2 linked regions of the Callithrix jacchus genome follow. The protein of the gene in region 1 interacts with the protein of each later gene in a pairwise test. Links are inferred from orthologs where the notes say so. Each region holds a gene or a part of one and is shown on either strand. Other genes may lie near its edges.

Evidence for each region.
Region 2: the proteins of KCTD6 (region 1) and CTNND1 interact in binary tests that used the Homo sapiens proteins (3 or more experiments, as listed by UniProt). The two-hybrid records come from large-scale screens. The link is inferred for Callithrix jacchus from reciprocal best matches to the Homo sapiens genes KCTD6 and CTNND1.

What each region holds. Positions count from the first base shown.
Region 1 is NC_133516.1:40,276,890-40,281,470, forward strand, and holds the start of KCTD6 (BTB/POZ domain-containing protein KCTD6), read left to right. Parts: upstream 1-1,755; 5' UTR 1,756-2,008; intron 2,009-3,950; exon of another isoform or gene 3,951-4,194; intron 4,195-4,581. UniProt on the Homo sapiens protein: Probable substrate-specific adapter of a BCR (BTB-CUL3-RBX1) E3 ubiquitin-protein ligase complex mediating the ubiquitination and subsequent proteasomal degradation of target proteins.
Region 2 is NC_133511.1:115,363,722-115,367,531, forward strand, and holds part of CTNND1 (catenin delta-1), read left to right. Parts: coding exon 1-13; intron 14-1,382; coding exon 1,383-1,535; intron 1,536-1,956; coding exon 1,957-2,492; intron 2,493-3,810. UniProt on the Homo sapiens protein: Key regulator of cell-cell adhesion that associates with and regulates the cell adhesion properties of both C-, E- and N-cadherins, being critical for their surface stability.

The sequences.
Region 1 (4,581 bases):
ATGCCCGCCTCGGCTTCCCAAAGTGCTGGGATTACAGGCATGAGCCACTGTGCCCGGCTCAACTGCATTTCAATAGCCATCTGTCAATTATAAAAGAAAAATTTGAAGGTACAATTAACAATAGTTCTAAAAATTGTTAAGATAGGAAGGACTAAGTCTGACAAAAACACCAACAGAATTAATCCATCAGTTTTTATTTGGGGGATAGAAGCCCTGAGAGGGGAAATGACTCTTTCAAGGACACTCAGTAAGTCAGAGACAATTCTGGATTTTCAGTGGTACCAAATTCTGGAAGTCTGAGTATTGGGTAATTTTGGTATTGTCCTCCTGTTTAAAAAAAATAATAAAAGCCGGAGTGAGGTGGGGTGGGGTGGGGTGCAAAAAAACAAACAAACCAAAACTCGTATTTTTTAATTATAAATTCAATAGTCATGTGTTCTGATTATAAATTCAATATTCATGAAAATGCAGAAGAACACTAAGAAGCAATGTCATTAACATTCCCATACTATTATCTTCAACATGATGATCAATGGTTTGATGTATTTCCCTCAAAATTTTTGTCTGTGTATATTTATGTTTTAAAAAATAAAATCAGGATTATATCATGTATACTAGTTTGTGTACTGATTATTTTCACACACATTTCCCTGTATTCTCCCCTAGTCTTGTGAAGTTGATAATGTAGCACTCAGTTATGTTGATGAAGCATATGTCATTTATTTAACCTATCAATTTGAGTTTTTGGAGAAAAATCAAGTATCAAATATGACTGTGATGATGCTGATAAGAATTTCAGCCCCAGAGCCAGCTCACACACATGCAGATGTGAAACCCGAGTGAGTTTCTAAGGCCAGTGGTTATTCTGGTGGAGAAGCGGAAACAGCAAACCCACCATCAGGGAACTGGCTTCACCGGAAGGGGACCGCGACCTAGCTAGCAGGAAGCGAATGGGACTTGGAACAAGTGGACTCATGGAGACCAATGAGCCCTAAGGCCTTAGGAGCTGCCCATCCTCTGAAGCCTTGGCCTCCTTCCTGGTGAAGTGGGGACAATACCGGCGCCAGCCTTGTCTAGCGCGGAGCTCCTCCAGGCCCCAGAGCCTTTGCACTGGTCGTTTTGTCTGCTGTGGTGGCTCTGCCCTCCTCTCCACTTGGCTGCCCATATTGCAGAGCCTCTGGGCCCGGCTGCTCTTTACTGTTCTGCCCTCCAAGCCGGATGGGTGGCCCCGGAGGCTTCCTCACAGCTCTCATAGAAGCAGTCTCCTCAATGCAGGGCAGGCAGGAGGGGCTCTGGCCGCAGGTCCGGGTCCAGGTCTTCCTTGGCCACTGCGTTTGAAGCAGGGGTCCCCTTCCCTTCTGCTCCATCAAATCCTCTAATCACTCCCCTTCCAACACTTATGATCATAACCTGTCATTATTTTGTCTACTAGCTGTTACCTTGAGTTTTGTCTGTCTTGTCCTTCCATTAGAACCCGCCTCCGTCTTGGTGGGCGCTGTATCTCCTAAACCCCCAGGCCTGAGATATAGTGGGGCCCCATACAAGTTCGTGAAATGATTGAGGAGAAACGCTGCGCGACACCAGCCCTGAGGACGCAGTGGGCTTGTGGCTGGGCGGACCCCAGAATGTGGGCGGAGGCTGGACGTAGGGGCGGGGTTTAGGGGCGGAGCCTAGGGGACCGGACTGGGGCTTCGGGGCGGGGCTTCGGGGCTGCGGTGGTGTGGTCTTAACCACGCGGCTCCGGGTGCGCTAGCTGAGTTCCCCCGGCCGCCGGTCCCTTTGGCTTCCCGCCCGCGCCGCCGGTAGGGGGCGCCCGCGCTCGTGGCGCCTAGGCTCTGCTGGGAAGGCGCCGCCCGCGCCGGGCAGCTGGAGCCGCAACTCCGGGCGCGGGCTCAGTCGTCCCCTCTGCCGCCGCCGCCGCCACCGCCGTCGCCGGGCGCGGGCTCGCTCGTCCCTGCGCTCGCGTTCTCCGGCCGCGGGCAGCTCCCGGCCCGGCCGCCGCCGCGCAGTGAGTGGGGCTGGCGCTGGGCTTGCGGGGCCGGGGCTTGGAAGGGCCGGGTTTCCGGACATGCCTGAGCCGAGCGGGCAGGGGAGCTGGGCTGAGGAGGTTCTGGCCGGGGGAGCCTGGAATCGGGCGGCGGCGGGGCCGCGCTGAGGGGACCGTGCGTCCAGGGGCTGGCACGAGCCCGCGGCGGAGGTGCCCGCGGTCGGGCCTGGGCGGGGGTTCCGGGGCCCGCCCGGCGGGGACGCGCGATTTCGGCGCGCCCCTCGTCCGGGCCCGGAGCATCGCCCGCCCTACCCCTGGCGGGGTCGGGTTGCGGGGGCTTTGCTGGCGGGGCAACAGCGAAGCGTAGCCCAGACGGGGACATTCGGGGTGTGCTCGCAGATGATTGATTTTGGGAGATGGCGCTTATTAGCCACCAATTGCCCTAGTTTAAAACGTGAGGCAGGGCTCTAAACCCTGCCTGTGGGCTTTTCTGCCCTGAAGAGACACTCAGATTGCAGCTGAGTTCTTTAAGCTTAGATTTGTGTGTGTGGTGGCATTTTTAATGCTTGATGTCAAGGTGATAAATGACCGTGGTAATGGGGAGCCCCTGCAGCACCTGCTGGGCTGACGGTGGAGGCTGTGTCTGGGGGTGGGACGGGGAAATGAAACGTGACAGAGATCCTGTTTGGATATTCTGCTGAAGTTATCATGTTTCTGTTCAAGTATACCAGTTCTAGAACAAGTTGATGGATCCAATTTTAGGACTTTGTGATAAAGGAGGTTTGGGTGGCAAAGTGGCCCGGGATGACCCGGCTCGCTAAGCAGATTTGGAGTAGCCCAAGTATCTCTCCATATCCCCCTGGCATGTTCTTTTTTTCGCTGTCACGAATGCCCTATTACTTGAATCATCCTGGGATAGGAAAGCAGCTTGGGGACAGCATGTGACACAGTCCTGAGCCCAAGATTGAGATGTTTTCAAATGAACAAATGTGTAGCTAGGAAAAGGAAAATGTTTTTGTCAGCAGTGTTGGTAGGTTGAGAGAATTTTCTCTTTGGCGGAAAACCATCAGTCCATATTGATATTTGATTTTGTGATTTGCCTTAGATATGAAGGATGCAGCGGTCAGGGTAGTCATGGATGCTATTCCTAAGTTTTGTGATTTGAATTTTCATAAATCATATTTTAACCCAAGTATCACTACTTAAAGGGCTCTTAGGGTGAACCCTATGAATCCTTCAGTGTGTTTGGATTTTGATATTTGGGGTCCATTTAAAATGGAGTACATGTATTTACTGGGATTCAGCTTTACCTTGGAGATAATCCTGAGTCATGCTTTAAATAAGTTCCTTCTGAGATCAAGAGCTCAGATGTCTGGTGATCTCTGGAAAAGCTAGGCACCCCCCTTTACCTGTATGTACTTCTCCCTTCTGGAGCTCTGGGAAAAGGAGCACCTGGGGAGATTTGAAGCAAATTAAGAGGCTGCCTTCTCTATATTTGCCCTGTCTCCAGGCCAGTGCTCTAAATTACTTGTGTTCACACTCAAGTTTCTCATGTTAACATAGAAATTTTGTTTATACTGCTGCCACTAGTGTTTTCATATTTAATACTTGCCAATTTGCAGATGGTTTTATATTCGTGATTTCACTCATTTTCTCCATTTCCCCAAAGAAGAAGTTGGGCATAGAGTGATTTTCTCAGGGTCTCATAATCAGTAATGGAGCAGAATTCGATTACAGGACCTCCCAGGGAACTGTTCTCTTCTTTGTATTGTTGTGTTACTCTTAGAGGCCAATTTTTGCCTTTCTTTTGTGCCTAAATGGTGTAATTACTTTTGAGAAGGTGGTATTATCCTGTTTTTTCTTGTGGAAACTGAGTTAAGAGGAGTGTTATGATTTTGTGACTATCTATGACAGTTTTTTTTAATATTAGGTCACTTTTCAACCTATAGCTCCTCTTTTCTAGACCACATGGTTGAGAGGGGAGAAAGAGAAAATGATTACTTTTCCTGCAGTCATATGGTTAAGGATAATCTAACACCATAATCACATTATCCTTGTATGCCTGGCTACTTGTGCTGGCCTGTGTGTGAATGTTAACCCCAAAGACTCCTTTAGATGTCACTGAACCAGTTACTATAAAAAGTATTTCACTTTCAAACTCCCACATTTCGAGAAGAGCAAAACTCAGTACAAAGGCAATTTTGAAGGTAAGTATAGAAAGAGGGAGTTTATTGAGTCTTTTCTGAATGCCAGACACAAAAACGTTTCAGTAGAAAAGCATTTTAAAGGGCTGCCTGGAAACTCTGGGAAGGTAGTAGTTGGAGGTTTTTATTATTCATTGAAGTTTGGAGGTTTATATTGCAACATGTAAGTTGTTATATAGGATTAGGACTTTGGCCCTGGAGAATTCTTAGTCTATAGCAGAAATGATAAACTCAGAATATTTTTGTTAAGTTAGTTCATCATAACCAGTAAGCCTGTAATTGCAGTTCCACAGTGGTAGGGAGAATTGCATTTAAGGGTTCTTAGGTTACTTTTTAAGCTATTAACTTACTGAATTATGTATTCTTCAGATATGCTACTTTAGAAAATTA
Region 2 (3,810 bases), on another chromosome or scaffold:
CAACGGACCCCAGGTAATTCTTTGGCTCAAGACCCGAGTTGCTTCATTCATATTTTCTTATTTCCCCAGCCCGTGAGAGCATATTGGTGTCTTGTAAAGTGCCTGGCACATTGTACACACCCATTAATTAGTTTTTTTCATTTCCAAAAACAAAGAAATGGAGCTTCAAAGTATATATGTAGTTTTGTTTTGAAATGAATTTTAATGACCACTGATCTTTATGACTATTTTTCTTCCCCACTGCCACCCCATTTGATCCCTAAGCACTATGTTTCTTTTCTAGAGACAGAAGGCTTCTACTTTGCAGCAGAAAACCCTACCTAAAATCTGGCTGGTCTTGAGCCTTTTAGATAGATAGTATCTGAAGAGTGACATAGAGCCAGTCAAAAGATGGCTCTTACTGGGATTTTTCAGGTTTATCTTAAAAGTTTTTTATTTCAGGCCGGGTGTGGTGGCTCACACCTGTAATCCCAGCACTTTGGGAGGCTGAGGTGGGCAGATCACCTGAGGTCAGGAGTTCGAGAGCAGCCTGACCAACATGGAGAAATCCCATCTCTATTAAAAATACAAAATTAGCAGGGCGTGATGGTGCATGCCTGTAATCCCAGCTACTCAGGAGGCTGAGGCAGGAGAATGGCTTGAACCCAGGAGGTGGAGGTTGTGGTGAGCGAGATCACGCCATTGCATTCCAGCCTGGGCCACAAGAGCAAAACTATCTCAAAAAAAAAAAAAAAGTTTTTTATTTTGGCCAGGTGTGGTTTGCTCATTCCTGTAATCTCAGCACTTTGGAAGGCTGAGGCTGGAGGATTTCTTGAGCCCAGCAGTTCAAGACCAGCCTGGGCAGCACAGTAAGACCCTGTCTCTACAAAAAAATAAAATTAGCCAGGCGTGGTGGTGTGAGCCTGTAGTTTCAGCTACTCAGGAGGCTGAAGTGGGAAGATTGCTTGAGCCTGGGAGGTTGGGGCTGCAGTGAGCTATGATCATGACACCATACTCTAGCTTGTATGACAGAGTGAGACCCTATCTCAAGTAAATAAATTAAAAGTTCTTTTTTTATTGGGTGAGCTGCTCTTCTGAGGGGTGACTCAGATATAGATGAAACTGCAGTTAACACAGTTCATATTAACTTAGATGACTACAGCTGGGAAGTTAAATCTACTGTCTCTGTCACTTGGATGTTGATGTGGCTATAGTTAACTCAGTTCATGTTTGTTAAATGACTACAACTGGGAGATTATGTCTACTGTCCTTTTGTACAAGTTTAAAAGATGGCAGCCACCCATCTAAAAATCCTGAGGCCTATAGAAGATGTATGAGGAGTCCCTATCTCCAGGGTCACAGAGCTTAACAGTAGTTTCTTCTCTCTTTTCTTTTCCATATAGGATCACAGTCACCTTCTATATAGCACTATCCCCAGGATGCAGGAACCGGGGCAGATTGTGGAGACCTACACCCAGGAGGATCCTGAGGGAGCTATGTCTGTAGTCTCTGTGGAGACCTCAGATGATGGGACCACTCGGCGCACAGAGACCACGGTAAACTAAGATGTGTATAAGATCTGGAAATGATAGAAGAGGTCTTTTTGTTTCTGTTAGGGGGAGGGGATTAAGCACTTAAGATGGAGGATTGATATGCCATCATTGATCTGACCACATAAAGAAAGTGATCTCTGGCCAGATAGGAAAGATGAAGAGATACGGAAAAGCTTATGGAACAGGGAAGAGAGAAGGTATATCAAGGTCTGTAGCAGCTCCCCTTATAGGCATAATTACTGTCAGGGCAGTTTTCCTGCTTGGGGACTTCCTGTAGGATTGCAAGAAAGATAGATGCTAGACCTTAAAGCATTTCTAGGTAAAAGGACCTAGGGATCTAAGGGTTTGTTTCTTTTAGAGTGGTTTAGAATTTAATTGCTCACTTCCTTCATTAGTTTTTCTTTTTCTTGTTGCTTACTTGCAGGTCAAGAAAGTAGTGAAGACTGTGACCACACGGACAGTACAGCCAGTTCCTATGGGACCAGATGGGTTGCCTGTGGATGCCTCATCAGTTTCTAACAACTATATCCAGACTTTGGGTCGTGACTTCCGCAAGAATGGCAATGGGGGACCTGGTCCCTATGTGGGGCAAGCAGGCACTGCTACCCTTCCCAGGAACTTCCACTACCCTCCTGATGGATATAGCCGCCACTATGAAGATGGTTATCCAGGTGGCAATGATAACTATGGCAGTCTGTCCCGGGTTACCCGAATTGAGGAGCGGTATAGGCCTAGCATGGAAGGCTACCGGGCACCAAGTAGACAGGATGTGTATGGGCCCCAACCCCAGGTTCGGGTAGGTGGGAGCAGCGTGGATCTGCATCGCTTTCATCCAGAGCCTTATGGGCTAGAGGATGACCAGCGTAGTATGGGCTATGAGGACCTGGATTATGGTATGATGTCTGATTATGGCACTGCCCGTCGGACTGGGACACCCTCTGACCCTCGTCGGCGCCTCAGGTAGGCAAGAATGGGGGAAGGTGAAAGGGCCTTTTCCAAGACCAGGAACAAGGGGTAGCTTTTCCTTCAGCTTCTAAGAGCTTTTCGGTATCAGAGATTCTTGTGGCCTCCTCCCCTCTGCTTTGTTTGGGGAGAAAGGCTACCCTGTTTTCCCCCTTTTCTTACTTGGCTTAGTATTGATTTGATATATATATATCTGACACATATATACATATATATATCTGACATATATACATATATATATGTAAACATATATATATTTAAATGAAAATCATATATTCTAATTTTTTTTTTTTTTTGAGATAGTTGTCTTGCTTTCTCACCCAGGCTGGAGTGCGGTGGTGCCATCTTGGCTCACTGTAACCTCTGCCTCCTGGGTTCAAGCGATTCTCGTGCCTCAGCTTCCCTAGTAGCTGGGACTACAGGCAAGCACCATCATGCTTGGCTAATTTTTGTGTTTTTAGTAGAGATGGAGTTTTACCATGTTGGCCAGCCTGGTCTCAAACTCCTGACCTTAGAGCTGATCCGCCTGCCTTGGCCTCCAAAAGTGTTGGGATTACAGGTGTGAGCCACCATGCCTGGCCCATATGTTTTAATTATAGAAAACAACTTGTGATTGTTATTAGTGTATGTCCTGAAGAATGAATTTTGCTTCTGTGCTGAAGTTTCTGCTGTTTCTGGCTAAGCTGTGACCCCTTTCAGTGTTAGGCAGAGGATTCTGATGTCCGGGGCTGTGAAATTCTTGCTCACTTGTTCCTGGGAATTTCTTCAGCTTCTGGTTTGGTATTAAAAACAGAGTTGAGGATTTTAGGGATCCAGAGCCAAAAGAGACGGTTAAAGACACACACACACACCCACCCACACCCGCCCCCCCAACTTTCTTGTGGTGTTTTTAATCCCAAAGCAAACTTTGACCTCACAAGAGCCTTGATACTCTATGCTTAGGGTCTTACATTTGATTGTAAAGTGAAATAATTGTGGTGACATCCTTAGGTGGAGGTCTGGCGGTATAGTAGCAACCCTCTGAAAGGTCACTAAGCAGCTGCCTGCTCTGACTTTACTACTTGTCCCTGGGGATTCTTTGGTGATGTGAAAAAGGGACTGATTGATGTTTGGACTGGTATATGGTTTGCCTTGTTGCCTTGAGAGAATGCTATAGAATGGGGTCTGCAGACCCCTAAAAAGGACCACGTAGAACTATTTTAGGCTTTGCGGGCCATGTATTATCTTTGTCCTTTGTTCTTTTTTTCAAACAATCCTTTAAAAATGTAAAAAGCATTCTGGGGGGGGGGTGTGTACAAAAACAGATTTGTCCCAT